Schizosaccharomyces pombe: one gene and its partners. Changing the gene in region 1 together with any one later gene gives a genetic interaction. Each region holds a gene or a part of one and is shown in the gene's direction. Other genes may lie near its edges.

The links.
Region 2: of rpt2 (region 1) and arc3, extra expression of one rescues a mutant of the other (dosage rescue), as found in Schizosaccharomyces pombe (one study listed by BioGRID).
Region 3: of rpt2 (region 1) and rpn502, extra expression of one rescues a mutant of the other (dosage rescue), as found in Schizosaccharomyces pombe (one study listed by BioGRID).
Region 4: of rpt2 (region 1) and sum1, extra expression of one rescues a mutant of the other (dosage rescue), as found in Schizosaccharomyces pombe (one study listed by BioGRID).

The regions. Positions count from the first base shown.
Region 1 is NC_003423.3:1,194,758-1,202,736, reverse strand, and holds rpt2 (19S proteasome base subcomplex ATPase subunit Rpt2), read left to right. Parts: upstream 1-3,308; 5' UTR 3,309-3,357; coding exon 3,358-3,360; exon of another isoform or gene 3,361-3,361; intron 3,362-3,495; coding exon 3,496-4,839; 3' UTR 4,840-4,959; downstream 4,960-7,979. Other genes in the region: aspartate aminotransferase Maa1, read right to left, coding at 763-2,076; SPOM_SPBC4.06 (acid phosphatase), read right to left, coding at 5,335-6,723; ubiquitin protein ligase E3 component mlo2, read right to left, coding at 7,394-7,979. UniProt on the Schizosaccharomyces pombe protein: The 26S proteasome is involved in the ATP-dependent degradation of ubiquitinated proteins. The regulatory (or ATPase) complex confers ATP dependency and substrate specificity to the 26S complex.
Region 2 is NC_003423.3:3,108,390-3,115,879, reverse strand, and holds arc3 (ARP2/3 actin-organizing complex subunit Arc21), read left to right. Parts: upstream 1-3,642; 5' UTR 3,643-3,675; coding exon 3,676-3,681; exon of another isoform or gene 3,682-3,727; coding exon 3,728-3,827; exon of another isoform or gene 3,828-3,907; coding exon 3,908-4,183; exon of another isoform or gene 4,184-4,279; coding exon 4,280-4,422; 3' UTR 4,423-4,680; downstream 4,681-7,490. Other genes in the region: pdk1 (serine/threonine protein kinase Ppk21/Pdk1), read left to right, coding at 1-37, 92-201, 265-435, 486-1,419; SPOM_SPBC1778.09 (GTPase-activating protein), read right to left, coding at 1,912-3,156; SPOM_SPBC1778.07 (carnosine N-methyltransferase), read right to left, coding at 4,681-5,300, 5,418-5,919; fim1 (fimbrin), read left to right, coding at 7,139-7,372, 7,449-7,490. UniProt on the Schizosaccharomyces pombe protein: Functions as a component of the Arp2/3 complex which is involved in regulation of actin polymerization and together with an activating nucleation-promoting factor (NPF) mediates the formation of branched actin networks.
Region 3 is NC_003424.3:4,907,087-4,915,056, reverse strand, and holds rpn502 (19S proteasome regulatory subunit Rpn502), read left to right. Parts: upstream 1-4,181; coding exon 4,182-4,265; intron 4,266-4,312; coding exon 4,313-5,560; 3' UTR 5,561-5,690; downstream 5,691-7,970. Other genes in the region: npc2 (phosphatidylglycerol/phosphatidylinositol transfer protein), read left to right, coding at 27-593; plasma membrane malate/succinate:proton symporter Mae1, read right to left, coding at 1,444-2,760; rsm22-cox11 tandem protein cox1102, read right to left, coding at 5,818-7,970. UniProt on the Schizosaccharomyces pombe protein: Acts as a regulatory subunit of the 26S proteasome which is involved in the ATP-dependent degradation of ubiquitinated proteins. Required for proper proteasome assembly.
Region 4 is NC_003424.3:5,355,055-5,363,143, forward strand, and holds sum1 (translation initiation factor eIF3i), read left to right. Parts: upstream 1-3,869; 5' UTR 3,870-3,901; coding exon 3,902-3,964; exon of another isoform or gene 3,965-4,019; coding exon 4,020-4,140; exon of another isoform or gene 4,141-4,496; coding exon 4,497-5,299; 3' UTR 5,300-5,450; downstream 5,451-8,089. Other genes in the region: F-box/WD repeat protein Pop2, read left to right, coding at 77-2,188; rer2 (cis-prenyltransferase), read right to left, coding at 2,338-2,448, 2,504-2,720, 2,767-3,026, 3,139-3,345; met8 (siroheme synthase), read right to left, coding at 5,518-6,277, 6,449-6,483; protein Csi2, read right to left, coding at 6,854-8,089. UniProt on the Schizosaccharomyces pombe protein: Component of the eukaryotic translation initiation factor 3 (eIF-3) complex, which is involved in protein synthesis of a specialized repertoire of mRNAs and, together with other initiation factors, stimulates binding of mRNA and methionyl-tRNAi to the 40S ribosome.

The DNA.
Region 1 (7,979 bases):
TCTTTTTGCAGATATTTATTTCGATATCACTACATAGGGCCTATCCTAGTCATTGGAAAGGTGCCAATTTCCAGCGATATTCTCCTATTTTTAGAAATAATTAAAAGCTTTGCACAAATTTCATTCCTACCTCACTTATTTCGTACATCTCAGAAGTTTGATGAACTTGGGAAATCCCAACATATGACAAATGCAATGGGAAAGATAATTGATAGTTTTCCAACGAAAAAGTGGGATTTAATATGTATATGAGAGAGGATAGTAAAATGTGCCAAATTTTGGGTTAACTAGAGGCAATCTAAAGTATGAAGTAAGTGAACTACTAGACAAACATCTACAGAAACAAAGTATGGAAATAAATGAAGATAGACAAACGAAAAGCATACTATTTCGAAAACGAATCAATATTTAGTCAATTTTTAGATCCAAAATCCATTCATTTAAAAACAGACCATGCCATCTATTTGGAAGCAAAACTGTAGTTATTCACCTCAAAGCGAAAGTATAAGGAAAAAAAAATAAGCCGAGACAATTAGGTTACTAAATACGTCTTCTCATGGTTTCGGAGAAATGAAAAGGGAAAAAAAATTAAATGTATACAAATATATGTATATGTATATGTGTGTTTGAGTCTGTCTATATGTATGTATAATAAAATAAAAACAGAAAGAAGAACAAAAAAGATTCAGAACAAAGAATCAATCAAAAATCCATCTGTCTATATAATAAACCAAAATCTTTTCACTTCAATTTCACCACCGACTAATTCGAAGTAACGGCATTGATAGCTTCGGCAAAGTATCTTACATTGGAAGTGTTGAGACCGGAGATGCTAATACGACCATTCTTAGTGAGGTAAATGTGATACTGTTTAGCCAAAACATCAACTTGCTGGGGATTTAAACCAGTATAACAAAACATACCAATTTGGTCAGTGATATGCTTCCAGCTGTGTTTATTCTTAAGGTCCTTTTCAAGGATGTTGCGAAGAGCCTTACGCATACTCTTAAGACGTTCGGACATGCCTACAACTTCACCAGCCCACTGTTCACGAAGTGCAGGGTTGCTCAATATATGGTTGGCAATTCTGGCCCCATTGACGGGAGGGTTGGAATACAAAGCACGAATGAGAATCTTAGTTTGGCTTTCGATACGAGCGGCTTCCTCAGCATCGTTGGCTAAAATGCTAAAGCAGCCAGCACGTTCACCATATAGACCCATGTTTTTAGCAAAGGATTGGCAGAGTAACATGGGGACATTGCTGGAGGCGAACAGACGAGTGGCATAAGCATCACGAGCAAAATCACCACTGGCAAATCCTTGGTAAGCCATGTCTAAAAGAGCAAAATGGTTTTTCTTTTGCATTGTTTTGAGGATATCATCCCACTGAGCTTTCGTAGGATCTACACCAGTTGGATTGTGAGCACAAGCATGCAATAATATAATAGAGCCATCAGGAGCTGAAGTTAAATCGGACAACATGCCTTTAATGTCCAACCCACGAGTAGCAGGATCATAATACTTGTAGGACTTAACGGTCAAGCCAGCTCGAGAAAATACATTCTTGTGATTTCCCCAAGTAGGGTCAGATACGTAAATAGTCTTTGATGGATAAAATGAAGCAAGGAAATTAGCTGCTATACACAAGGCACCGGTACCACTAATGGATTGAGCAGAAACCAGCCTATCCTTTATAGACTCGTAAACATCGCCATAAGCCAATTTTGTTGCTTGCACACGGAAACTGGGAATTCCTGTGATGGGTGCATATTCTTTGTCGAGTTTCTGACTCAACAGCTCAGTTTCTGCCTGACGAACACTGGGCAGAACATAAGGCTTTCCGGCATCATCACGATATGTACCAGCACCCAAGTTCATTTTCTTAACATCTCCATCCTTTTTATAGGCCTCTGTAATACCAAAGATGGGATCCGGTGGTCCCATAGGTACATCTGCCCAAACCTTGAATCCACGCTTGCTCTGACTTGCCAAGCATTTTACTCCATGGTAGGAAACGTTGGTTTTTAACGATGCAAATGTATTTGGATGCAAACAACGCAAATTCCTGGCCAACATCGTCGAAATCAATATTCTTCCCAAAGTTATTTCTGGGAGATTGGTTAAAGGCTCTTCACAGGCTCGCAATCAATCGAATCCTGCTAATATATATACGTTCTTATCATGAGAAAACCACGTGGTTCAATGTATCTGCTTACCGATCGATAACATAATCCGAAGCTGTAAGATGTCAAAATTAGATAACGACGTTTATTGTTTCTTTCGTTATCGTTCACTTGTAGAGCTGTTCCGAAAAAACATTAAAGTAGCATAGCGAAAGCTATAGTTTTGTAATCGCAACGTAGTTTAGCAACTAGTAAACAGTAACTCGTTAATTACCAATATTTATCGTAAGTAATTAAGGTAGTTAATAAATTAACATTAACAACAATAAAAATTGTAAAATAGCTGTTAGACTTGTAGAAAATATTTTTCAATAACAAGAAGTCATTCAATAATCATAACTTGAATAAGTCAATTTAGACCTTCGAACACTGTTTAAGTCATCAGACTGTCTTTAGTAGCTGCTTCTATAGCTTTCACTGTTGTTGCTGTAAAAGGTTGCAGAAGTAAGTTATAGAACAATAATTCTATTCATATGGAGGACTTTTATTAAGAAAAAAAACGAAATGAAGCCTACAGCACCCCGGATTCCCATGTTGTCTCCAACCATAGTACTAACGAGGCCCTCAGACGCTTAACTGCAGTGATCGGACGGGAACTGGTGTTTTCGCCTAGGTATGGCCGTAGACACCTAGTAAAATACTTTATAGCTTATATAATTTTATGCTATGTAATTTTGAGAGGAATGTGTGTTGTTTGAATTGGGATAAATATTCTTTAGCAATGATTCCTAAGTAAAAGATAGATGCAAGGTTAAATCACTTTAGCAAAGTCTATGTTCTAACAAGAAACACGACGAATGCACGAAAAGAGATCCGTACTCCTTTTAATAAAAATCGATGGCAATTGTTTAACCTTTTTTAAACCATTATTACTTCTACAACACTTTATATTGAGGAAAATTTACTTAAAGTGAGGTCTCTTGAAATGGAATGGTTGATTCACGCGTTGGTAACAGTAGATACATTTTCGTGTTCGAAATGTAAACAACTCAAGAAAATTAGGATGTGTTTTTACCATACACTATTCAAAAATTACAATATCGCAATACTATGTTACGCAATATGTTAGAGTGCCTTGAGCCACCGGTTGCTTGCATAGTGTCGTGGTGGAAAACGAGTGAAGCTAGATATTACCAATACCAGATCACTTTCACTGAGAGTATCGATCCAAAAAATGGTAAGTATTTGAGTATTTTGAGGCTGAAAACAAGACTGAATTAAATGTAATTTTTTCATCTATCGCTGAATAGTCTTGTTTTCACTCTATCACATTCTTTTCATGTTTTAATATTTAATCCTAACTCTCCTATAGGGACAAGCACAATCTGGGAATTTTTCTAATTTCGGCGATGGTGCCAACGGCGACAATAAAAAAGACCAAAAGAAAGATAAGCCCAAATACGAACCTCCAGTTCCCACTCGAACTGGTCGTCGTAAGAAGAAGGCTCAAAGTGGTCCTGATGCATCGGCAAAACTACCTACTGTTATCCCAACGACTCGTTGTCGTTTAAGGTTGTTAAAAATGCAAAGAATCCACGATCATTTGCTTATGGAAGAAGAGTATGTGCAAAACCAGGAACGTCTTAAGCCACAGGATGAACGAACTCAGGAAGAACGCAATCGTGTAGATGAAATTCGTGGTACTCCAATGTCTGTAGGAACTTTAGAGGAAATTATAGACGACGATCATGCCATCGTTTCCACAGCTGGACCAGAGTACTATGTTTCCATCATGTCATTTGTCGATAAAGACATGTTAGAGCCTGGTTGCAGTGTACTTCTCCATCACAAAGCCATGAGTATAGTAGGCTTACTTCTTGATGATACCGATCCAATGATTAATGTTATGAAACTCGACAAAGCACCTACAGAAAGTTATGCCGATATTGGTGGTCTTGAATCTCAAATTCAAGAGATCAAAGAGGCTGTAGAGCTTCCTCTTACCCATCCTGAACTCTATGAGGAAATGGGCATAAAACCCCCTAAAGGTGTCATTTTATATGGTGCTCCCGGTACTGGTAAAACTTTACTAGCGAAAGCTGTTGCTAATCAAACTTCTGCTACGTTCTTGCGTGTCGTTGGTTCTGAACTTATTCAAAAATATTTAGGTGATGGTCCCCGTCTTGTGAGACAATTATTTAATGCTGCCGAAGAACATTCGCCCTCTATTGTTTTTATTGATGAAATTGATGCTATAGGTACAAAGCGTTACGATGCCCAGTCGGGTGCTGAACGAGAAATTCAACGTACTATGCTTGAGTTACTCAATCAGTTGGATGGATTCGATACGAGTCAGCGTGATATTAAGGTTATTATGGCTACTAACCGTATCAGCGATCTTGATCCGGCTCTTATTCGTCCAGGTCGTATTGACCGCAAAATTCTTTTCGAGAATCCTGATGAAGCTACGAAACGTAAAATTTTTACCATTCACACTTCCAAGATGAATTTGGGCGAGGATGTTAATTTAGAAGAGTTAATTCAATGCAAAGATGATTTATCTGGTGCAGAAATTAAAGCAATCGTTTCTGAAGCTGGTTTGCTTGCTCTGCGTGAACGCCGAATGCGAGTTGTTATGGACGACTTTCGGCAAGCTCGTGAAAAGGTTTTAAAAACGAAGGACGAAGGTGGACCTGCTGGTGGTCTTTATATCTAAGTCCAACTTTGGTTATGACTAGTTTTACTCGCATAATGGCAATACTTCTTTTTATCCATACTTGCCATTGACTAAATAATTTCCAGTTCCTGTTTAGTTTCTACGAATATCTGTATTTCCATCTTCACTATTATTATTTAATCCTGTAGAGAAGTATTGTATGCATGATTATTAAGTTATCATTAAGTTTTATAGAGTAACTATAGATGTCCATAAAATTTATTATATCATCATACGTATTTTATTAACTTCGTGCATTCCTTGTCGGTTTAAATTTTGGATTTTTTAAAAAAAAGAGCGTAAAATAAGCAAAGCAAACAAAACGTGTCCATAGAAAATACCTCTCCGATACCTCTTTTTTTTTATTTTCTTCAATCGATCGCATTCACAATTTCAGTGACACAGTTTTCTGATTATATTAAGAAATTTAATTCTAACGTGTGCAACAAAACGCCTTTATAATACACAAAAGACGTAAACTAATCAATCAAATAATTACTTTTTCACCGGTTTACACATAGTGTGATATTCAACAGGCTTTAATGCACGGACTGTATCCTTAAATATAGAAAGAGGACAGATCGTATCATTGCCTTTGTATCCTTGACCTCGACATGCACCCATCACTACAGGGGTTGAATTGTAGGTAATTCGGACATACCAATCAGACATATCTCTAGCAGAATTAGACGCAGCAACGATAGCACTATTGCTGGCATCTGTAGACTCATCGGAAAACAACTTCAAATCTGTCGTCTTATTATCGCCGCTTTGATTTTGGGAATCGGATTTGCTTGATGTATCTTCGAATAGTTCCATTTCAAGATGTGATGTAAAGGGTGGCCAGCGATAGTCAAATGCGTCCAAAGATGCTAAAATGGCAGCTATTGTAACATCATGTGCGCCATAGAGGGCCAAACGATGATAGGGTGAACCATTCTTTTCAGCGACCACGAAGTTCTCCATTCTCATGCTTAAATCATTTAACAAGCTTCCAGCACCTAATTGACGCATCAACTTAGAAACCTTATAACCGCCAAACCATTCTTCTACAACAGCAGTTTCGGCATCGCGTAACCATTGTTCATCTCTTAGGTTGGGATTGAAGTCGACATGGCTACCAATGGCAGCGTTAATAGTATCAAGCAAACCACTGAGACGAGGATGGCTTGAAACAACTCTAACAGGCTGACCATTCATGAATTGACTCATCATTTCAGAGGCACGGCCTGCAAGTAAGGGATCGTAAAGCTTAGCAGCTCGTTCTGCAAATTCTTCATATAGTTGCACAAGTCGAGGACAGTTGTTTTCATTAGGAAGTAGGTTTTCGTCTGACCAATTTCTCGTAAAAATGACAGGTAAACCCATCTTACGCTTTGACTCAGGATACAATCCGGAAAAAACATGTTCTAAAGACTCCAAGGCTCGCACCATTGGAGTCGCACGCATATAAACATCAGCGTAGTTATTCAATTCATCAGGTAAGAATTTCAATTGTTTGACATAACGTTCTCGAAGATACTCACCAAGTGTTCTGGTAGTAACACGCCCAAAATCAGTCAATTCACCATGAATGCAAACACCACTTGGGGAATTGTCTGAAGTTGGTGCTGCAAGAGACGTGTCAACTGGTGACTCAACCTTCCTTTCAAAACCCAACACAGACCATTCCTTTTCCCCTTTAATTTGCGCAAAAAACCTCCTTGCATTATTACAAAGCTTCCAATCCTTAGGGATACCGGCGGAACCAAGTCTTTCCTTCACGGGAGCACGTTCACCATGTCGAAATATGACTTGTAAATATTTCAGTTGCAGCTGTTTTGGATAATCGACTCCGGGAACTGAATCCGGGAATTTAACAGAAGCTGAAGACATTTGAGACATGGCGGCTAGGAAGTGGTTGATGATGCTGGATAAGAGCTGCTGTCAACTAAGGTCTCAATGCTTGAACATCATCGCAAAGCTCATATAAAATATGAATTACTGAATATTAACGAAACGACACTATTTGAAAATTAGTTTTGTTTATGAAAAGAAAACAATAAAATATAAAGTTAATTCAATCTTAAAAAACTGTTAGGAAAAAATTAAAATGAAAGTCATTATGAGATATAACAAAAAAAAAATACCCAGACAGGGTTTCTCTTTAGCTTTCTCAATCAAAAATAAAAGATAAAAGACGCAACCACCAAAACTATAGATAGGTTTAAAAATTTTAATGAGTGCAGTTAAAATAGGAGAGACAAGAAAGCTAGAAGTTCAATATATTAATTATTGTTCAAATATACATACAAATTTGTCATCATCATTAAAATCATGTATACCAACAAGCCCCAGTAAGCCTCTCAAATTAACCATCTCTGTTAAGAAAATCAATTAAACCATTTTTGATAGAGAAATGATTACGTTTAACCATAAGCACATAGAAAATATCTCTGGTTTCACCAGTATAAACAGCGTTTCACAAAAAGCATCACCAGATTAAGTATAACCTACATGTTTTGACGTTAAATTATACGCCAAAAAAGAAGGGAATTCAAAAAAGTTATTAACGCTACCGTAAATTTTTACTGATTCGAGATCGCTCCAAGAAAAAATTTGATATATCTTCCTTGGTGACAACCCTATTTTCACGAGCAAATGGAGTGAGGAAGTCCGTTAGCTCAGATTTTAAGCGATTATACGCATAAACGCTTTCGTTAGCTTGTACACGAGGAAGTCTGTCCAAAATACGAAGGACATCATTCATTGTGCTAGATATGACTTGCTCAATCATTTCTCCAGATTCACTGGGATCCTCATTCATCTCACTGATTCCATCCTCAGAATCCTCAGGAGGTTCGTAAATAGGTTCTTCTGCCACCAACATTGGCATCTCCAAATTACGCAAACTGATGCAAGATTCACAAGGGCACAAATTTTCCCTAAAGTTTTCTGAAAGAAATAGAGGCGCTCGTTCTGTACCAGCTATGCTTTCATGCTTCTGGTTTAAAAGATGATCGCGGTATTTTTCTGAACATTCTGAACACACCAACCATTCAAAAGTCTCAGCATCTGGGATTGCAATTCCTTTATTAGTTTTCTGCAGACACTTTTCGTGAAACCAATCTTCGCAAAGGATGCATTGAAACATAGTTCCT
Region 2 (7,490 bases), 1.9 Mb from region 1:
TGCACCCAATGGTGAACTTTTGCAATACATCAAAAAGGTATATTTTTTCATTAGTCTATTCATTTTTCCTTTATTAACTAAGCTTTGGTAGTATCGTTTTCTTGATGAGAATTGTGTGCGCTTTTATGCTGCTGAGATTTTATCAAGTATCGAGTATATGCACTCCTGCGGTATAATTCACAGAGATCTCAAGCCAGAAAAGTATGTTTGAGTAGTGGTCATTAAATGTTCGTTTCCTTTTCCTAATTCTAACCTATTTTTTAGCATTTTATTTGATGGAAATATGCATGTAAAAATTACCGATTTCGGCACAGCCAAAATCCTACCCCCTAAATATGTAAATAGCCCTGATTACACTACCTTTCCAAGCTCCTTTGTTGGCACTGCGGAATATGTTGCTCCTGAACTATTGTCTAGACAAGTTGTTTCAAAATCGTAAGAAAACCTATTATCCCAGTCTATTTTTTTTCTGACAAATATTTAAGTTCCGATTTATGGGCTTTTGCGTGTGTTGTTTATCAAATGATTGTTGGTTCCCCTCCTTTTCATGGCAGCAATCCTAATAATATTTTCAAAAAGATAATGAGCCTGGAATATGAGCTTCCAAAGCTCTTACCACCTGATATCGTTCCTTTGTTTAGCCATCTTTTCCGTATTCAGCCATCTGATCGATCTACAACCCAACAAATAAAACAATTTCCTTTTTTTGCTACTATTACTTGGGACAATTTATGGACTCAAGATCCTCCTCCTATGCAGTCATTCCGGCCTAATTATAACATAGCCATTCCTAATGCTCCTGCTTATTATCGCTCAAATGTGACAGCCGCAGCTGCTGCTAATGCTGCCGCGGCATTTGCTTCTGCATCCATTGTAAAGCATCAGGAAACTGCTCGACGTCAGGAGCTTCCTACGGTAAATCGTTTCACTGCTCCAACTGCTCATTATGGCTATGCTTCACTTCGAAGCCATCAGATGCCTGTTGACAGACTTTATTACAAGTTGGTTCCATCGTCTGAGTCGATCATTGAATCTACCTCGGTCTTCGTATCACCCATTCCAAGTGTACCTGAGGGTAATAAGTTTCCATCTGGACTCTCAAAAATGTTTTTGAAAAGAAAGCAAAGGGTTATGCTATTAACTGATGTTGGTCGATGCGCTTTTGTTTGTAAAGGAAAACATGAGAGACTTTTTATCGAGATGGAGGTGAACTTGAAGGATTCCAGTGTTGTAGTGATTTTTGATGAAAATAGTTCCAAGCGATTCTTGATTGAAGATAAGGTCCAGTCCTGGATAATAGAAGACAGTTCCGGGGATGTCACCAAGTATAAAGACAAAATCCTTAAGTTTGCTGATGTTGCGTCTTCTCATCAATCTCGTTCTTCAGAAGAGAATGTAGAAGAGAACGAGGAAGAGTAACCCCATACCTTGTTTTATTTGATTTTTCAACCCATTTACTACCTTCTTTATATTTTATTATTTGTCGTCAGTGTTTTGGTAATATTTAACTATTTAAGCTATACATAATTAGAAATTACGACGCACCTAGGAAGTCGCAAGATGGAGAGGTATTATGTATACATATATATGTATAGTATTTATAATATATATACTTGAATTAATTTTATGTTAAAATTCCATTTCTTTTGGTGAGATGTTAAAATTATAATATTAGTAAGAAGAGAGAGTTAGATAGGATCGATTTAAAGCGCATACTCTTGATACCAATAAAAGTTTTGTGGTATCAAGGAAATAATGTTTATCAACGTTCCAAATTAAAACAGAAAAAGAAAATGATAAATGTTCAGGACCCATTATGCTAAGCTCTGTGATATCAATCCTCATCTTGTTGACATATGTTACATCATGTGGGCCACAATTAATAAAGCTATTAAAAAAGAGTTAGAAATATCAGTTTCTCTTACTTTTAGAAGAATTTTCAGAAGGCATTTTTTCCCAAAATAATTGAATTCTAGCAAGCAGGGCGTTATCGTTTTGAATGGGAATAACACCTGACAGAGCTTGCATTACTACTTCAAAGTCTGCATCAATTAGCGTGTCCCACATTCCTTGTATAACCGCAAGAGAAGTGGCTTGCAATAACCTGACAGTTTGACCTTTGCTTCCACCTAATAAAAACAGGAGATCCCATATACGTAATTGAGTATGGAAGGGCACGCATTGATGAAAAACAGTGAGATACCAACGTGTAGCAAAAGCAGATGGTTCTGCTCCAATTTCCGCCAGATGTCTGCCTGATTGTGTAAAACTTAACTCATGCTTAAGCATGTCAAAAGCCTTTAAAAGTGTATCAAACCCGGAAGAAAACAAGTCCCCCATGCCTCTATTTTCCAATAAATTTACCATCATTATAAATGCTTGTTCTTCGGGATAGTAAATGAGCAAGGTCGCAGCAATAGAAGCCATTCCTTGAACGTATCCAACACGAGGTATATAGAGAGCTACAGCATGAAGAACTCTAAATAGTAAACGTTGCCCTCCAATGTAGCGTTTTCGGAATAAGAAATGTGTAGCAGCTGTTCTGGGAACATCTAGGTCAATTTGAACATCATAGTCACAAATCTGCTCGTTCAATTGGTAATACTTGTCAATCAGTTTTTTATCAGGAAGAGAATCCACAAGAAAGGACCACCACGCAATAGATCGCCAACAATCTGGAATCCCCTTAAATGTACGTAAAATTAACTTACGAGTTTTTCGAAAAGAATGGAGCTGATTACCGGAAACGAGGTGTATTGAACACATCGATTTCCATTTTTGAATACGGGAAAGCTCTTTAGCTGATATTTCGTTGCGGTCATGCGACTCGCCGGGAACAACCATGAAGATGCTTTCATCAACGTACTTCAGCATGTCATCATGGCCGATTAATTTATTGCCAAGACGTTTGGCAGGGTTTGGTTTATCTAATGTTGGGTCTTTACTAACTTTATAGAACCCTAAATTATTAACATTAAAGTCTGAGCGATAGTTTCCGTAACGATCCACATTTTCCAATGACTCTTTTGTATCGATTTCTTGAACTTTTCCATTAATAGGTTCTGGTATATTTAAATTATTCTTGTCTTCTTGTAACCTGTACAACGACCGAATTCGTTGCAAATTGGTTGTTCTAGTTGGGGAAGGGTTTTCCATGCTCTTTCAGATATATCCTCAATTCCGTCACTCTGGAGAAAACAGATTACCTACTAAACTGTATTAAAATATCCAACACAGAAAGATTTAACAGGGGGGAATTGTTTCCGATGTAGTAATGTTTACGGTCCCAAAAGACCGTCTATCCCCATATAAGTCAGTACGTTAGATCCCAAAATCAAAATAACCAAACATGAAAATCTTTTTTTGACGTTTTTATAATTTTTCAAGCAATAAATGCATTCGTGCAAATGCTTATGAATTTGGTTCTCGCTACAAATTTATTGGCTCTATGTCATTTCCATTGATGAAAACTAGTTATAAAGTAGAGACCGAGACCCGATCACAAAACAAAAAAACGACACGCTATATTGCTTTACTGTAATTACATAGCTTTTCGCTATTTTGTTTAAAGAAAAGCTAATTTATCACTATTGATGCTTGACGAAATGCTCCCTATCGGCACATTCAGCAGGTGCTCAAGTTATCCAACAACATCATAAGCACTAGACATTAGATATGCCGGTATGTTCTAAAGTTTTGAATTTTTGTTGCTGACATGTTATGAAAGGCCTATCATTCCTCCTTCTTAAGTCTTACGGACGTCCCTACCACGGGAAACATAGCAATGCTGCCGTTGAAAACCAAGTTTCGTGGACCGGCTTATCCTGGTATGTTCCAGATATTTGTCAACTCTGTTTAAAGACTATTCTTAATGTTATTAGAGTACTTTCTAACATTTTTTATACAGCTGATGAGAGTCAAATGGATATTATTGATGAATGCATTGGGCTGTTTCGCGCCAATTGTTTCTTCCGCAATTTTGAGATTAAGGGACCAGCAGACCGTACTTTAATTTATGGAACATTATTTATCAGTGAGTGCTTGGGAAGAGTTAATGGACTCAATTATCGTGATGCTGAACGTCAACTTAATAGTTTAGCGTTGGAGAATTTTTCTATTCCTGGCTCTGCTGGCTTTCCCTTGAATGCATTATATGCTCCTCCCCTTTCTCCTCAAGATGCTGGTAAGATTCACCCAAACTGTGGCATTAGACATATAGATGTTTGTGCCGCTAATAGCTTTCTTGCTTTTTTTTTCATTTGCTAACTATTAAAAAAAGAAATAATGCGTACATATCTTACTCAATTTCGTCAGGAACTTGCTTATCGTCTTTTGTCCCATGTATATGCAACTGAAAAGGATCATCCCAGCAAGTGGTGGACTTGCTTCAGCAAGAGACGTTTTATGAACAAAGCTTTGTGAGTCTATTAATTAATAATTTGGCTCATACTGTATTTCAAAGCCTTTATGTTTTTCCGTTTCCTTTATTTCAAATGCGGCTTATAAAGTTTTTGAAGCGTACGAATGGCTTATTTAATGTAGGCAGTTTTATACGTAGATAGTAGATGCAAAAATAATCGCTTTACTTTCATGTACAAGTTATCAATTAGCTTTGTTAATTATGCTAAAGGAATATTTGAATGATTAAAGTCGTAATATTCAATGTTGGTTCAAAAATTTTTATTGAAATCGTAATTTTGATTTTTGCAAACGGCAGACCCAATAATGAGGATGGTATATCCATTCAAGCATACTTCGTTTGTCCCCCATATAAGTCGTGTCGACCGAATTGTGCTTTAAAACCTCAAATCCCATACTATCCATCACGTAAAACAGCTGCTCGAGAGTCAATTCAACGAAAGGTTGTTGCTGGCTATCACTGTTAGAATTAGAAGTACCTTCTGACTCAAAATGATACAATAAAGGCCCGAGATTTATCCAATAACCTCCATCTACCAAACAGTTTTTAATTGTATCCAAATAGTCCAGTATGTTTTTTGTAGTGTCTATAAAGAAGCAGGTAGCTACTACTTGAAACGAATCACGACTTTCTTCGGTGCCGTATACCTCCAGGAAATCCCCGGCTGCCATTGAAAAGTTTTGTGAATTCCGCAGATATTGAGAGGGAACTGCATCAGGAATATTTAATGAACGCACCTGGTCATCACGCATGACATGGTTCGAAAATGAATGAATATAAGGATACACAAGAAACTGATTTTCCTGCTTTACGCAATTCAGTATGAAATGCGACGTTAAAAGCATAAAATATGAGAACTCATTTCCTTGGCATGCAAAGCCTATTAAATGTTAGAAGCTATGTCCAAAAATCCAAATTTAGAAAGAAGTTAGAAAACATGTAATCAGATAAATAATAAATCATGCTATTTTTGATTGATAGTATCAAGTGTACCTACCTTCCACAGCTATATCAAAGGCCAATCTTCCTAAGCCGGAACCTGGAACAAGTACACGAATTTTAGATCTGTCTATAGAATCAGATGGGAAAAGTGAATTTAGTTCCTCGATGAAAGGAGCATATGTAGTACGGCGTTCCTCAACACATTCGGTCGACCAATCTCTCGCAATTTGCTTGAGAGTGCTTGAAACTTTTTGCATCATATCAACATTGACATGAAATAACTCATTTTGATCGAAATCACTGCAGAACACAGGAATGGCTGCGTTAGCGATTGCTTCAGCAAGCACGCTGTTCTGCTCGATACATTGATCAATCCTTGAAAGATGCTTTAAAAAATTGTTGTCAGAGTCCTGTAAGAGTAAGTCCTTGTGTTCAAAAGACAACCTGCTCATCGATTTTCTCTTCTGTTGTGTTATTGTATGAGCATATTGCCTGTACAAAAAGAACGCGCTTAAAACTTCTTTCAAAACTTTTACTTCTTCCTCATCATATTCCATAGTTTTTTTTGATGTTTCTGAGCTCTATCTAGACTTTAATATTTTTATCATCTAAGTCGCAATTTTGGCGTTGTGGAGAAGTTAAACCTCTAACTTGTTGCTTCATTGAAGTTGGAAGTGTTGAAGAAACCAATAAGTTAAGAATATTATGGTTAATATAATTATGTTTTATGTATTTCATTAGCTTTTCAAGTTATGTTTATATCTACTGTGTTTGATTGCAATATTGAATCATCTCTGCTGAAAATCCCTGCAACGCGGTGCCTCTATGAAAATAGTGTTTGCCTTTTGCAAAAATCCCATAGGTTTTATTTGGATAGTTGTCAGACAATATTTTACAACAGCAGCCGCAAAGGAAATTCACCATGCTTCAACAATACCGGAACAGCTAATCTTCTGAAGCATCGTTATAGTAGTATTGTGAGTTTTGTAGATTATAAGAAAATAATATAAGAGAATCTTGGTGCACGCAGTAATATCATACAATATTTATATTGCAGCTTATAAACGAGACTGGAAATACACGTGAAAAGGTAGTCAGGTTAAAAGTTTAACCCTGTGACATCTGGCTAATCTTTTATCCTATTGCGCAGTTAAAAGCGGGAATTACTTCTTTTTCTTATATTGTATCAAAAATTGTTGGCTTCAGTGACCTAAACCCTTGAACAAAAGAAAAAAAACACGAATTTTCACGGCCGGAAAAACTTTCTGCAACGTTTTACAAAGGATCTACTATCATAGTAAGTAGAAATTTTGGCTTCTTGACATATAGTACTAAGTAATTTTCAAGTCGATGCATCAGTTGACTTCAATTGAAAGAGCTTGCTAGTTTGTGATGTTTATGGCATTTGAATTCGGTAATATCGCTAATTTGATATGGACTTACGTTTAGCTTTTTATTCTGTAAAAAAAATTAAAATTCAATGTAGTTGATATCCCAGCTATATATTCAATCTAAAGCTACAACGCAAGACATCGTCAAGTAGTAAATTACTTTTTACAATTGCAAATTAACTTTTAACAGATTGGCTAAGCAAACGTGTATTAACTCATTTAGCGAGCGGATCAAAGTTTTGCTCTACGCTTCTGTAAGTATGATGTATGTGCATCAACAACACGACGTTAATCCTTGTCACGTAGCAACTGCAAGCCACCCAAAGCACACATCGTGTGGTTTCGTTTACTATACATTTTTTGGTCAAATTTTACTTTTAAAGAAATGTTAGCTCTTAAACTTCAAAAGAAGTATCCGGAGCTCACTAATGAGGAAATTCTAACCTTAACCGACCAATTTAACAAACTTGATGTGGATGGAAAGGGATATTTAGATCAACCTACCACTATTAAAGCCTTTGAAGATTCAAAGAAGGGTTCTTACGATGAGGTCCGTGAAGCAATTCGTGAAGTTAACGTTGATTCGTCTGGACGTGTTGAACCCGAAGACTTTGTAGGAGTAAGTAATGTTTTCCGTAATTTTCACGATATGTGTCTCTATATCGCTTCATCAATTGGATTACTAATGCATATAGATTTTCAATGTTTTAAAAAAAGGTGTAGAAGGTACTGAAGTA
Region 3 (7,970 bases), on another chromosome or scaffold:
TATAAGATTTATACAATACAGACACCATGAGATTAACAACTTTTATTTACGCAATCACTTGTTTGCCCATCTTTATAAGTGCCAGTTCTTGGTTTTCTTCTTTCTCATTTGGTGAGTCAAAGTCTACCGATTTGGTATCATCTACCAGTGAAAAGATCCCTGGAGCCAATCCTGCCAGCTATTGTGCCGATTGGGATCGTGGCGATGACCATGTTGTCGTTGACTACATTAATTTGATACCGAATCCCCCAGCTGCCGGTAAAAACCTTACCATTGAGACTGAGATTAATGTTGGTACTACCGTGTTGAATGGCAGTTACGTGGATATTCAGGTAAAGTATGGATTTGTTCGAATTGTGAATGAGCGCTTGGACATTTGCGATAAGGCTTACGAACTTGCTGCTGTTGAATGTCCCGTTGAACCTGGTATCATCACCAAGCAAGCTACCATTTCCCTCCCTTGGGCTATTCCACCTGGTAGATACCATGTGCTTGCTACTGCCTACAATGCTGATGGCGAACAGTTGACATGCGTATCTGCCTCTGTATCCTTTAGCCACTTCGGATTTCAATTAATCAACCAAGACCATTAAAGCTTGGCATTCCTATCATGCCTATTGACTTTCCTCTACTTCGCTATGTAAAATAATCGGAGTCAACATCATATGTATTTGTTAAGTTAAATGAGGTATCTTCTCTTTTATTGTGCTATTGCTTTTACTTCAAGATTGTTTTATTTCGTTTGTGCAATCTAGTATCAGGTCACGTTCAACGCTATCTTGATTAATTGGACTATTTTCTATACATGATTTAATATTTTAGAATTACCTTTTACCAGTTTTTATTTTAGTCATAGTGGTTTCACTCTAGTATTCTTTTGTCATGAAATCCCTCTTAATTTTATTGTTACGTATAGTGAGTGTGTAAGATGCTCATCAATACGCCAAAGATATGTTTGAGACATGTCGCATGCCGACTAGGCTTTTTTTTGTTGTCTTATACTCATTTTCTCTATAACCAGGAATTTATACACAAGTTTTCAAATAACCATAACTAAAGTGTGCTGCTGATAAGAGTAGAAAGAGATATAAGCTTGGATGACCAAGATATAAATTTTAGACGATTAAATCCGATAAAATGAAATAAATAAACTTAATTTTATTATGTACAGGATTGATTTTTTAATTGATTCCTTCGTCGTGATTCATATGCAAGACGCATACATATTTAACACTACGACAACCAAAAATTACCATTATTCAAAGTCCAAAATTTTGGTATGTATAATTTAAACAAAAAGAAGAAGAAGGAGCAAAAATGTCTAAGCAAAATTAGTACCAGTAGTACAATAAAGATACAGAATGATTCAAAATGATTAATCTATAATGGTATTAAGAGCAGGGCACACAGATTTATAGAAAAATTAAGGAAAAGCATACAAGCTTAAACGCTTTCATGTTCACTACTAGGAGGATCCGATTCACCACCAGTAGATGTGACATGTGTATCGACTTTTTCCAAAGATGCAGGTGCTTTTTCAGGTGGGAAGGTAGGGTTAAGGACACCTGTATTTGGTTTTGGTGGAGGATGGGCATCTTCGTCTTTGCCAGGATAGCAAAGATCATTGACGAGAAACGCACGGACCATTAAATACATTAGGAGGATCCACTGAATACAAAGAATGACCCCAATGATATGTCCAAACATTTGGAAAGCTTTGGAATCTATCATTTTACCTATCTCAATGGTACAATTAACAAAACCCACGTTGGGGAAAATGAATGCAAACCATCCACAAGCAAACTTGAGAGGGGCTCGAGTGAAAAAGCCCGCTAAAAAGCTAACCATGGCGAGACAGTAACACCAAGCAGCAAGACCCCAAATAAAAATAGCCATAAAGGTAGAAACAAAACCAAGATACTCGGATGAGTTGGCGCCAACAAAAATATAAGGGCGACTGCCCATAGCACCACGCGCAATATTAATTAAGGCCAAACCTGAGAAAGCTGGTGGACCGACAAACATAAACATACCAGGTCGATCTTGGGGTTTTGCCAGGCCTACAGTAAAAAACCGTAAGACATTGACGGCAAACAGTAAAAGATAAACCCAAAAACCAAGTCCTTGAAAGAGGATACCAAAGATAACCATATTTTTTAATTGATGAGCGGGTTGTGTAGAATTGACGGCGCCAGCAATGACACCACAAATCATAGGAGGGAAAATAGGAAGAATCCAAGCAGGAGATGCGGTTTCAATGGTATATACATGGTTGTTGAAAATTGTAAAAAAAGCCATTACGCAGTATATAAAGGATACTGCAACGTAAATGTAATAAAGGATTCGAATGACCCACACCATCCACTCGCCGGTATCAGGATAGGCGTATATGGCAAGCATGTCGATGAACGTGGATATTGAAAGAAGACAAGTAGCAATGAAAAGCTTTTCCAAATGATGGTTCCAGGAATCCTTGATAGTTGAAGGATATTTAATAAAGCGAAAAAGCATGCATGATCCAAAGAGAGAAAACAAAAAGATTTGAAGAATATAAACAATTTTGCCAATTGTATTAAGACCATAAAATCGAAAGGGGAAAGAACCAATAATCAAACCAACACCACCAGTTGCCATAGTACATGCAAACCAAGACCATGTAAAATGCTTCAGTCGTTGACTGAGAGGGACATGAGGGGCTTTGACATTCCAGTCAAGCAACTCATGATACCTCTGTTTCAAGATTTCCTTGAGTTCACCCATGTCGAATCGAGAGATAAAGGGGAATTAAAAAAAAAAATAGTGGCCAAGAGAGAAAATGAAGAATGAATATAATATAATATAATATAAGGAGAAAAAGGAACAAAAAGGAAAAGACGGAGGAAGGAAAGAGACAACCAATTGCTAGCAATTTATCTGTGAGTCTAATCGCACATGTTAGTTATCGTGATGAAAATAAAAAATGATAGAGAGTGTAAAAAATGAATGACTGGCTGTTGCTAGTCTTAGTAAATGAGGCAAACTGCCGATACAGAAGTAGGATGAGAAATCAAACAAAAAGTCTAGTGCAGCAACAAATAAGCTTATTTTGTGTAGCAAACAAGTAAAAGAAAACAAAAATAGAACAAACAAATAGTGATCAACTTAGAAATCAACAAGAAAAGATGCATACAAATCCAAATTTCCAAGATTTTCGAGGGGCAACTTTCTACCAACAGATTGCAACGTTGATCCTCATCGCAAACAAACTGGCACTACACAACAAAAAGCCAAACTATACAGTCATCCTACAAAACAAAAACTTACCGATGGACCTGGCCAACCCAACAACTTCAGCAATGAATGACTGACTGGATAAGTCAAATTCGAGCCACTATATTTATATCTCTTGGAAGCTTAACGAATTTAACCAACCTGCTGTCAAATGCACAAACCTTCGCTAACCTTGTGAGAGTGGAGATAGCAAAATTTTTTCTTTTATGCCGAGGAGATGCTAATTATGCTGCTATGAAGTCGGTCAAGAGTAAATCTGGTCCTTATATGACGCAAGCTAGATCTAGATTAATGCTATAGGCATACGAAACTTTGGTATTAAAAAAAAAAAAAAAAAAAAAAAAAAAAAAAAAAACTAACTCAGTATAACAATATTGACAATAATAATATACCGAACCTGTGGTGTTTTTCCAGACTTGGCATCATAATAATTGGCCTAATTTTTCTGCAGGTCAAAGGTGCTTTTGGGAAGGGAAGTTCCATTTTCTCTCAATAGGCCACGAACTCGGTCTTTCAATTCCCTGCATTTTTGTATCCGCTATCGCTAATGTGGGTCCAGTAACAAGGGAGTGTGATTTTAGAGTCAGTTAGATGGAAAAGCTATCATTTACTGCCTAAAAGCAGTTCGAAATCTCGGATCTACGAACTAAGAAGCCGAACGGCTCATTCGCGTTATCAACGGGTATCTATGTATATAGACGGATCGTTACCCGTGATTATCAATAAACGGATCTTAGCTAGTATTCCAACATATGACATATAGTGATACGCAACGTAGTGTATCATAGCGTAGAGTAGTATTGCTGACAACTAAAGTATTTTGCGAGCGTGCGGTACAACTCTGTAATCATAAGAAATCAACTCGCAATATTAGTCTCAATTGTACACTCTCCAACAACCCACATATCGAAATGGAACAGAAACCGGAAGTTGATTACTCAGAGAAGTTTGCAGAGTTACAAAAAAGTTTAAATAACCTTAATACCATAGACATCGTACGTAAAAATCAAAATTTTGACTAATCTCTAACTTGTAATTGTAGGATGCGAACCTCGAGAAGCTTTTGATTTTTGAGAAGCAAGTTCGTCAGGCTTCTGACACCAGCACGAATACGAAAGTATTAATATACATTGCTGATTTGCTCTTTCGAGCTGGTGATTTCCAAGGCTTAAACGAACAGTTGGTTAGTCTCTTTAAAAAGCATGGCCAACTGAAACAATCGATGACAAGTTTAGTCCAACATGTAATGACCTATCTTCCTGGAATTGACGATTTAAAAACAAAAATTAATTTGATTGAAACATTGCGTACTATTACTGATGGAAAGATATATGTGGAAGTAGAAAGGGCACGTCTTACACAACTGCTTTCCCAGATTAAAGAAGAGCAAGGTGACATCAAATCTGCCCAGGAGATCTTGTGTAATGAACCAGTAGAGACTTACGGATCTTTTGATTTGAAGGAAAAAGTTGCATTCATTTTGGATCAAGTTAGATTATTCTTACTGAGGTCTGATTACTACATGGCATCTACTTACACGAAGAAAATAAATGTTAAGTTTTTTGAAAAGGAAGACGTCCAGTCTTTAAAACTTAAGTATTATGAGCAAAAAATCCGAATTGGTTTGCACGACGATGCATATCTTGATGTTTGTAAATATTATCGAGCAGTTTATGACACCGCCGTGGTTCAAGAGGACCCCGAGAAATGGAAAGAAATATTAGAAAATGTCGTTTGCTTTGCCTTGCTTACTCCTTATGATAACGAGCAGGCAGATCTTCTTCACCGAATTAATGCTGACCATAAACTAAATTCTCTTCCTTTACTCCAACAATTGGTTAAGTGCTTTATTGTCAATGAACTAATGAGATGGCCCAAAATTGCCGAAATCTATGGAAGTGCTTTAAGGAGTAATCCTGTTTTTGCTGAAAATGACGAAAAAGGTGAGAAACGTTGGTCTGAACTTCGTAAGCGAGTCATCGAACACAATATTCGTGTAGTCGCAAACTATTATTCCCGCATTCATTGCAGTCGTCTAGGAGTGTTGTTGGATATGAGTCCTTCCGAAACAGAACAATTTCTTTGCGACCTTATTGCAAAGCATCATTTCTATGCCAAGATTGATCGCCCAGCTCAAGTCATTTCATTCAAGAAATCTCAAAATGTGCAAGAGCAATTGAATGAGTGGGGTTCCAATATTACTGAACTTCTTGGAAAATTGGAAAAGGTAAGACAGCTTATTATAAAAGAAGAAATGATGAATTCTATTCAACAGGCGGTAGCCAAATAAATTGTTCCGTCTCTATTTCATTTCGTTACTTTCATGACTTTGTCATTTAAATAATATACTATTGGTTCAAAGGCCTTCAACTTTTTTTACGAGAATACAATAGTTTTAATGTCGAATTGCAACCTCGGAGAAAGTTATTCTAGTAAGTTTGTAGTGATTTTCGTTGTTATTTGTCTCGTAACTAGAAGGTTAACTTGATGAATTATTTTAAATAAATTATTGTAGTTCACTCAATATGTAGTCCCTTAATTTTTATTTCAGTTGAGTTTAGTTAAAAGATTGCCATTGGTATCATATCTGGCCTCAAAAAAAGTATAGCTTAGAAGAATATCGTCAATATCCTTCATATTTGGATCATCAGCAAATTCTGGATCTATAAAGAAAAACACAGGCAAGTCTACTTTTTCATGAGCATCTAGCTTTTGCTCTTCAAAGCAAAAGCATGCAACCTTTGAGAAGTAAACAGCGGCTTGACCTGGTACTATATTATAAGTTGCAACTCCTACTATGTCATGGTCGGACGTATTTTCAGCAGTATAAAACCCTAGAGCAGTCTCGCCTGGAAGAACATATATTTCACGCTGCTGGGGCCAAAGCTTCCAGCTAAGGTTTCCTGCAACGTCGCCATTGAAAGTAACTCTGATTCTTTTATTGTCTTTACGAGGAACCATTCTTTCTGCATTCATACGACTTTGGTCGGTATTAAGAGTGCCACCATAACCTGTTTTCGAACAGAAAAGACGATATAAAGGTACAGCCGCATATGTCAAGCCCAACGCAAAAATGGAAATTGCAACCAGATAATAGATAGTGGTCCTTTGATTATAGTGGAATTTATCTCTCGAATATTGTCGTGAAATATTCCTGGTACCAGAGATGCAATTGTAACAGCTAAATGAAGTAAAAATACAAGGGAAACGATGTGAATTAAAGTCTGCAAATCGAGAAAAAGCTTTATGACGATTAGTCGAATAGAATCGTTTTCCGACAAAAATAGGATCTGCAGTTGTATTTCTTTCAACTTTGGGTTTATTATATGAGGGGGGATTGATTGAATAGGTAGAAGAAGCATCTTTTAAATGTTTAGTAATTTTACTACTTGGAGAAGTACTTTGAACTTTGCCCTCTAACGGAAACAAGTCGCCCCAAGCACTTTTCCTAGCTAATCGATAAGCTAGTTTACCTTGTGATTTAGGAACAATATTCCTTCTAAGCCGAGCATCGCTATCACAGACATCAATTATGACATGTCCATCTCGCTTCAGTGGAGGTCGAATTATACGTGGCCAGTTTTTAAGAGTTGGAGATGTAACATTCACATTTTCTAGTAAATCCTCATCATTCTTGAACCTTTGTGTGGTATTATTAAGCGGTCTAGTTATACCCTTTTGAATAACAACATAACTGTAATGAGAGCGATCCGAGGATCGACGATGAGAACGAGGGACATATAGACGGGAAAATGGGGATAGGAAAAAATGTTGTTTGAAAGAACAAATATTTGCTCTTACCCCATTTTCTATATCAATGGGGCAGCGACCATCGTGGGGACAGGGTGCTACAATATGGGCATTGAATTGTTTATCAGAAGTATTTTTACTTTTTTGCAATAGAAATGTTCTAGCTCTTTGAATCAAACTAAAGCCACGCTTTGTGCCTCGCTCGCAGAGCACCAAAAGACCACCATCATTTGACACGAGACTCCAAAGCGAACGAAGATAATCAAAGAGTTCTTTCTCCGATTTCATTTCAAGAAGCTTGTTAGATGCAATAACTAGAGTGTATGAATCCTTTTTACCCAATGGTAGACGGTTAAGCGTAACAGGGCTAGTTGGATTCGGCGAAGTTGACGGGTAAATGTTATGGTGAATATCATATATGATTTTTTTCAAAAATGGGTTCTCCTCAACAATTGAAACTGAATTAGGTGTGGGAAAGACTGAATAACTAGCTAGAGCACCAATACCTGGACCTTTACCGCAATCCAGTATATGTTGAGACTTGCAAGACACATCACTGTTTACAATTTTCAAGTCAGTCAATACGCTGTATAGAGAAGCATATTGATACGGCATAGACTGATGAATATAAGCTAAAACTTGGGGATCTGTCATAGTCCGAGTAGATTCATCTTTGAATGGCGCAGACAATGGAAGCTGAGATTCCGTAGCCAAATCTTTTTTAATATCATTAATAAATTTTTTAATTTGTCCTTTTTCGCTCTTTTTCAATAAATCGTCCACATATAGATTAAATTTTGTATGCAAACTAATATCACCACTTTTCTTTTGATCCTTTACCAAAAAGTCGAGTAAACTGGAAGCTTCTGGACGATGTGAAGAGATCAATTCGTTTTTATAATCAGAAAAGTTGTTTTGAACAGCTTGAAAATTTGCATTATACCACCTAA
Region 4 (8,089 bases), on another chromosome or scaffold:
ATCGACTGTTTTCCTTAAAGCTCATTTTTGACTTCTTATTTATTTCAACGAAAAATCACAATCATTGCATCTACGCATGTCACTCTCTAGGTGTCCAACTGACAATTCGTCCTCCCGTATAAATTCCTCTGTTCCTTTAATAAATAGCAGCAGCCCTGCTACACCTCCAGAATCATTTGATCCTCAAGTATTTCCTTCTTCACTTATTCATGGGGATAACCTGCTTCCTCAAGATGATCAAATTGCATCGGATCCTCGCTCAGAATCAAATAGTTGTAATGGCAATACGAGTTCTTCCCTGCCGTGCACTGATTCGTATCAGTACCCATTAAAGCATTCTTGTACGCCTTCTTTTCTTCGAAAGTTTAATGAAAGTATAGAGAATGTCTCTTATAAATGCTTAGACCACTCACCGCCAGATAGTGTTCCTGGCGATTTTTCCATTTCCCTTGTTCCTCAAAGGAATTTTCTATATTCTCATTCTTCTCTTCCACCTAAAATTATATCAATTGATAGAAACAATCGAATTAAGTTAGATAATAGCATTTCATCTAACTCCGACAATTTCCCTCCTTCTCCGAAAGTCGACACATCAAACACTGTTTCACCTGGTAGTAAACCTATCTCTGAGGATCTTGAAGATTTAAACTTACAGTCAATTGTTCAAACTTTTGAGGATCTTCCAGAAGGAATTCAATCTTATGCGTTTTTTCAACTACTCCGTTCGTGCAATCGGCAATCGATGCGTTTATTATTGAATGAATGCGAGCCGCTTCTAAAAAAAGATATACTTTCAAATCTTCCTTTTTCCATTGTTCAGTCTATATTATTAAATCTGGATATACATTCTTTTCTTTCTTGCCGTCTTGTTTCGCCTACTTGGAATAGAATACTTGATGTGCATACTTCATACTGGAAACACATGTTTAGTTTATTTGGCTTTCAAATCAATGAAAATGACTGGAAATATGCTAATCCAAACTTAAATCGTCCACCTTTTTTGCACAACGACCAAATCTCAGATGACTATTTTCCGGAAATTTTCAAAAGACATTTTCTCAATAGAAAACGATGGTTATTTCCTTCGATACCTCCAAGTCATCTATCTTTTCCCATTCATGTTCCAAACTTTATGATAACTTCTTTACTACTTCATAAAGACAGAATAATCACCACTTCGGGATCTGGAACAATTCAAATTCATAATGCTATTACCGGTGTTTTAGAAGCTCGATTAGAGGGTCATAAAGAAGGTGTTTGGGCTGTCAAAATACATGAGAATACACTTGTATCTGGTTCGATCGATAAAACTGTTCGCGTTTGGAACATAGAGAAAGCTAAATGTACGCACATATTTAGGGGACATATTTCCATCATCAGATGCTTAGAGATCTTAGTTCCGAGTCGTCTTATTCGCCATGGAGTTGAAATTGTTGAACCAGATCAACCGTACATTGTCAGCGGCTCTCGGGATCATACACTTCGGGTTTGGAAGCTTCCAAAAAACACGGATCCTCCTTATCTTCCAGATAATACAAACTCTATTGACCGTTGGGAGAAGAACCCGTATTTTGTACATACTTTGATAGGACATACAGACTCTGTACGAACTATATCCGGCTATGGTGATATACTTGTGAGTGGGAGTTATGATTCTTCAATTCGCATTTGGAGAGTTTCAACAGGGGAATGTCTTTACCATCTGCGGGGTCATAGTCTTCGTATATATAGTGTTTTATATGAACCAGAAAGGAATATTTGCATAAGCGGTAGCATGGATAAGTCCATTAGGGTTTGGGATTTATCGACAGGGACTTGTAAATATGTGCTTGAAGGCCATGATGCCTTTGTTACGCTTCTTAATGTATTCCAGAATAGGTTGATATCAGGTTCTGCTGACTCCACAATTAGAATATGGGATTTGAATACTGGGAAACCATTAATGGTTTTGCCGTCTAATTCAGGCTACATTAGTAGCTTTGTGTCAGATGAACACAAAATTATTAGTGGTAATGATGGTTCTGTAAAGTTATGGGATGTTAGGACTGGAAAGCTGTTACGTTTTCTATTAACAGACCTCACAAAAATATGGCATGTCGATTTTGATGCTATGCGTTGTGTGGCTGCAGTGCAGCGTGATGATCAAGCATATTTGGAAGTTATTAATTTTTCCGGATCAAGACCGTAGAAAGTTTCATTTTAACAATATTTAAGAAGACATAATTAGAGTAGTGTCTAACTATTTACATCAGCTACTAACACATATTAAATGTATACAATGTAAAATTAACAGCCAAAGCCTATCAAAAGTAAATAAGTAACGAAGGATTGAATAAATTATGCTGGTTGGTTTTGTAACTGGTATTGAATTAACATTGGGAAAAACTTCCAGATAGAAAAATCCGGCCAGTAGAAATCGATGAATTTTATCTCCGTATTTTTGTGACACTGATAAAATTAGTTGAATATCTTTGACTAGAAAATTAGGAGAATTTTTACTTACCTGCCATAACATAAAATCAGATAGACGCTCCACACCGCTAGTGCGAATCAACAAGTCTAAAGGAAGACTATCTTTTATCAATAGGTTTTTTTCAAATATATCTTCATCTATATCTTCTGGAGTGATTGTACCATCTTCTGCCATTTTTACTATTGATTGCACAGAAGTAGCAATTTCATGTCGAGAAGTGTATGGAAAGCAAACATTTAATGTTGCCCTAAGATGTCAATTAGCAAAATAAAAATTTGAAAAATTTCACATACTTTGTGTTATGTTTTGTAATTTCCACAGCCTTTAGAGCAGTTTCTAAAACGTCAGGTTGCAACCTGCTAAGATCGCCAACAATGCGAATACGGATCCCATACTGATCAACCAAATCACCATGAGCAGTAATTTGCGTTAAGCTGTTTTTTGCAATCTCCATTAACATATCAACTTCATATTTAGATCGCTTAAAATTTTCAATGGAGAATGTGAAAGCCGATACTTCTTTAACTCCTAACTTCAGACACACTTTTAATAGCTTACGCAGGGTTAGTTAATGTACCAAATTGTGCAGAACGTAGACGGATACCAATGCGCAAAACATGGAGAAACGGTACGTTTAACCTTCTATTAATGTTCTTTAAACTTACAGATTTTAAAGCTTCAAAACCTGAGCTATGACCCTCGATAGTTTCCATCCTTCTTTGACGAGCCCACCGTCGATTGCCATCCATTACAAAGGCTATGTGTTGTGGTACTTTGCCACGTTTAATTGTATTTATCATCATCGTTTCTAATTGATCAAGTGTCCATTGTAATGGAGGACAGTGAATAAACCAGCCTGATAAATTACCCATATTGTCAAGATATTTTGTCAATTCTTTTCTTTTCCTTTATAAATGCACGCTAAATATCAAAGAGAAATAATTATCTTGATAAACAATTATTTTCAAAAAACGATTAGATGTTTTTGACGCTTCTATAAAACACTCAGGTTATCCGGTTCTAGATATGTTTTATAAGTATAATTACCAAGCACGCTAGAAAAGGATTTTTAGCTAAGGAAATATACTTTCAATCGTAAACGAATGGAACAAAGAGACGCTAGTTTAAGACCAAACGCTTTTGTATTTTTTTTTAAAAATCACGAAAGAAATATTATTTTTTGTACAAATAAGTAAGACAGACAAAATTCAAACAAAACCACAAAATACTGTTTTCAAAGTGAGACGTGCGACCTTTGGGTCTAACTAGTCTAACGCAAGTGTCTCAGAAATGAAGCCAGTTCATTTAAGAGTGTCGTTAAGCCTCCTTATTTTTAATACCATCCTTAAGTTACGCTAATTAGAATCAAAATATTACAACTAAAGACTTTTCGCTCAAACCCTCTACCAGCACTTTCCTGTTCAAAAGATGAGGCCTATCATTTTACAGGGTCATGAGCGTCCTTTGACTCAAATAAAATATAATCACGATGTAGGTTTAATAACCGTCCATTATATGTGGAAAATTTACTAATTTTTGTGTGTAGGGTGATTTATTATTCTCATGTGCCAAGGATAAAGTGATTAATGTCTGGTTTTCACACAATGGTGAACGCCTAGGTACATATGAGGGTCATACTGGTGCAATTTGGACTTGTGATATTAATAGTACGTGAAAATTGGTGGTGATGTATGTTGGATTAAGACATCTAAAGGTATACGGATTATGGAAGTATAAGGAAACACGAATAATGAAACATATCATGACTCTAATAAATGTATTTTTTTTATTAGTCGTCCGATTGCAGATGGTTATACTCGTGATCCACGATTCTGAGTTGGCGTAGTACTTAAAGTTAAATATGCATGGTGCATCTCCTTTACTTATATTAATGCTACGTTTACCTCACTTCACTTCCTCGTGGAAAGCATTTAAACTTCTTTTAAATCCTTTTCCTTCTTCTTGATGCCTCAAATCCAACTAGATCATCTGTTCCTTTTCCAATGGTTACTAACTGAAACAGAAAGTAGCACTTTAATGGTTAGTGGAGCCGCTGACAATACCATGCGTCTTTGGGATGTTAAAACAGGAAAGCAGTTGTACAAGTGGGAATTTCCTACTGCTGTCAAACGTGTTGAGTTCAACGAAGATGATACCCGTATTCTTGCTGTTACCGAGGAACGTATGGGTTATGCTGGTACCGTCACTGTTTTCCGTGTTCCTATTTCGGAAAGCGATGCCGCTGCTGAAACCCCCCTTTACGTTATTACTACTCGTGAATCTAAAGCAACGGTCGCTGGATGGTCTTACTTGAGCAAGTTTCTCTTTACTGGTCATGAAGATGGCTCCGTTTCCAGATACGATGCTATAACCGGAGAATTCGTTGAATCTAAACAAGTTCATAATTCTGGTTCTACTATTACTGATCTTCAGTTTTATCCTGATCGTACTTACTTCATCACTTCTTGCAAGGATACGACTGCTAAAGCTATTGATGTTGATTCTTTTGAAGTCATCAAAACATACCTTACTGATACGCCTCTTAATACTTCTAGTTTTACTCCTGTCCAAGACTTCGTTATTTTAGGAGGTGGTCAAGAAGCCCGTGATGTTACTACTACTGCTGCTAGACAGGGTAAATTTGAAGCACGTTTTTATCATGCGATTTTAGAAGAAGAGTTAGGCCGCGTTAAGGGTCATTTCGGTCCTATCAACACAATAGCTGTCCATCCCAAAGGAACCGGTTATGCTAGTGGTGGAGAAGATGGTTATGTTCGGGTGCACTTCTTCGATAAAAACTACTTTGACTTCAAGTATACATTGTAGGTTAATTTTATTCAAAAAACTGTTGATAGTATAGTAATGGACAACGGAACTTTTTTCCAAAGATGTATCATTTTCGTTTAGGGAGCATTATATGAAAAATAACCTTCTATGAGTACAAGAGTTTTTTAATAAATTCCATTCAAAATTCAAATGTTTTAAAGTGAAAAGTAATGTAATTGTCATATTCCGTAAAGCAACTAACTTATCAAACGCTTCTTTTAACGAGCTTTTGAAACATGTTTGAGGAGAACAGCCCCAGAAATTATAATTGCTCCAAACCATATGTAGTTGTCTATCTTGCTGTAGGCTGGAGTCGTTATTTCTCGATAACTAGGTGTTTTTTTTGGGAAGTATCCCAAAAGTCGGTTGATGAGATTTTCGTCGAGCATGGCAAGTTCCTCCAAAGACCACAGTTCGCAAATCTCAATCATCCATCTCATTCTTTTGCGACTGTTTTCAGGTTCGGGAACAATGTCTCGTAATTTTTGTCGTAAAAGGCCAGTTTTTTCCAATGCCATACCAGTAGCTGGATTGATTGAACTTTCGATTTTTTTTCGTATTAAACTGGCAAGTTTTGGACCTTTACCATTGGTGCTAACCATAATTTGTAGAGGGCCGTTACGGATTTCAGACCCAAAGTAGAAATCACATTCAGGTGGAATATCCGCCGCATTGACCGGGATTTTTTTGCTTTTGCATAACTTATAAATTTCGGAAGACAAGCTGGGATCATCTATGGCTGTAAGTACCATGTTTACATCGTCAGACAAATCTTCGACTAGAAATCCCCTGTCTCGCCATTCAACTTGCTTCTCCTGTATTCTCCAAGCCACTTCTTTACAAAGACCAGCTTTTGGACTTACAACGATAACATGGGCATCCGCATTCAAAACATGCAATATACGCCCAGCTGCCACAACGCCACCTCCAACAATTAATACTTTTTTACCTTGTGCACGCCAAGCAATAATTAATGATCTAAAGCTTAGATTAGCCTAAAAATTACCTTGAGATACATCAAAAAACTTTGCTAGCTTTCATTTTGTATGCTTTGCTAATTTTTCAATTCTGTGTAGATGAAAGTTAAGATACTAAAAAGCTGAAAATGATTTATAGAGCCTTGTAACTTCATAAAGATGCTTGACTTACCCACCAGGCTGCACAGACTGATATTTTGAAGCCATTATTCAAATTTTATCTTAACCAAGTGTAGGTGTTCCTGTATACTTGAGAATTATAGTATCGCCAATTACAATTCGACATTCAGTATCTGCTTCCCTATACGGGTTAATAGTTGGGAATCCTATTACGCGTATACTATTCGTTTATTTAAGACCTAAATTTTCCAGTGAATTAAAACTACCTTGTGAATAAAATCCCGAGGACGTGCAAATTTTTGAAACTATTTCATAGCACCAACTAAGCATATTCCTATACATCATAGATTAATTAATATGCTAAATTTATATATTTTTTTCATTGACAAGAAATATCCATACAAAAGTAATAGATGAAAGTGGCTCTTAGACTACTTAGTCGTATTTAAATAAGACGTTAAAATTCTTCATTAATCTCCTTACCATGTATACCAATGTGGTATAAACAAATTTGCGACGTCAAAGATTCATTTTTTGAAAACGCCCTGAACACAAATGTGTTAAAATAAGCTTCTTCCAGAAGGCCAGGTGTGTCCGAGAATTTTGGAAGATAGTAATAATTTACTTCGAACACCGAAGACAAAGAAACAGGAATCGTGGCAAGCAAAACCAAGTTGTTCATGTTGCTTAAAATTTGATAATTGATATCATTGATAAGCCCAAACATTTGGATTTCACGCGGGAAATAAGAATCATCACCATGTATTGGAAAAATTAGTGAAATATGTCGCACGTACATTGGTCGATTTAAACGCACAGAAACCTGTACAGTATCTTCGTAATTACACCAATTACTATTGATGCTTGTGTCAAGTAAAGCCGTCGGTAGATTTGCTTTTTTTCCCCAGTAATCCCTTAAAATGTCAGAAAATTTAGGCTTAGGAAATGTCCATCCGTAGTCCACGACAGCACCAACAACTTTCAAGGCAAAGTCCGGGTGATCAGCAACATTTCTCTGGGAACAAGAATGTTTTATGTATTTTTCAACTCTTTTTTCTAAGTTTGAATTGAGTTTTTGATGAACAGATTCCTCAAGGTCTTTATGATAATAAGAATATGTGGCATCAAACTGCTTCGCCAAAAGATTTTTAGCAGCATCTTTTTTTAAATATAAACCGGAGTTTATGATTGAAAAATTGGTGGTCGATCTATTGCCATAAAAAGACTGTGATGAGTTGTGTCGCTTTACAATATACATAGCTTCTTTAGAGCTTTGAGCAATGTTCCGTAATATATCTTTCAAACAAAGAATATCAAGATTGACACTTTCGTGTAAATCTTCAATGCAAAGTAAATTAAAAATAGACTCTCCATTGTTAATTCTCAGAAAGCCCCGATACGAAGGATTTCGCAATAAATTGTAATGTTCGGCAAAAGAACAAATGGCTTGAACACTCTTATTGACTAATGAAATCGGGATGTTCCCAGGGTGTTTTTCGGAAACAGGCAGATGCGACACTAGGTATATGTCTTTTTCAATAAAATCTAGGTAAGTGTTCAGTAGAGGGTTAACAGAATCATTTATATCCTGTATTTTAAGATCATAAGTACTCATTAAATTTCTATCCCAAAAATGTAATAAAACATCTTCAGGGCTAATTGGATTTTGATAAAGAAGTGTCTTTGCCTCTGT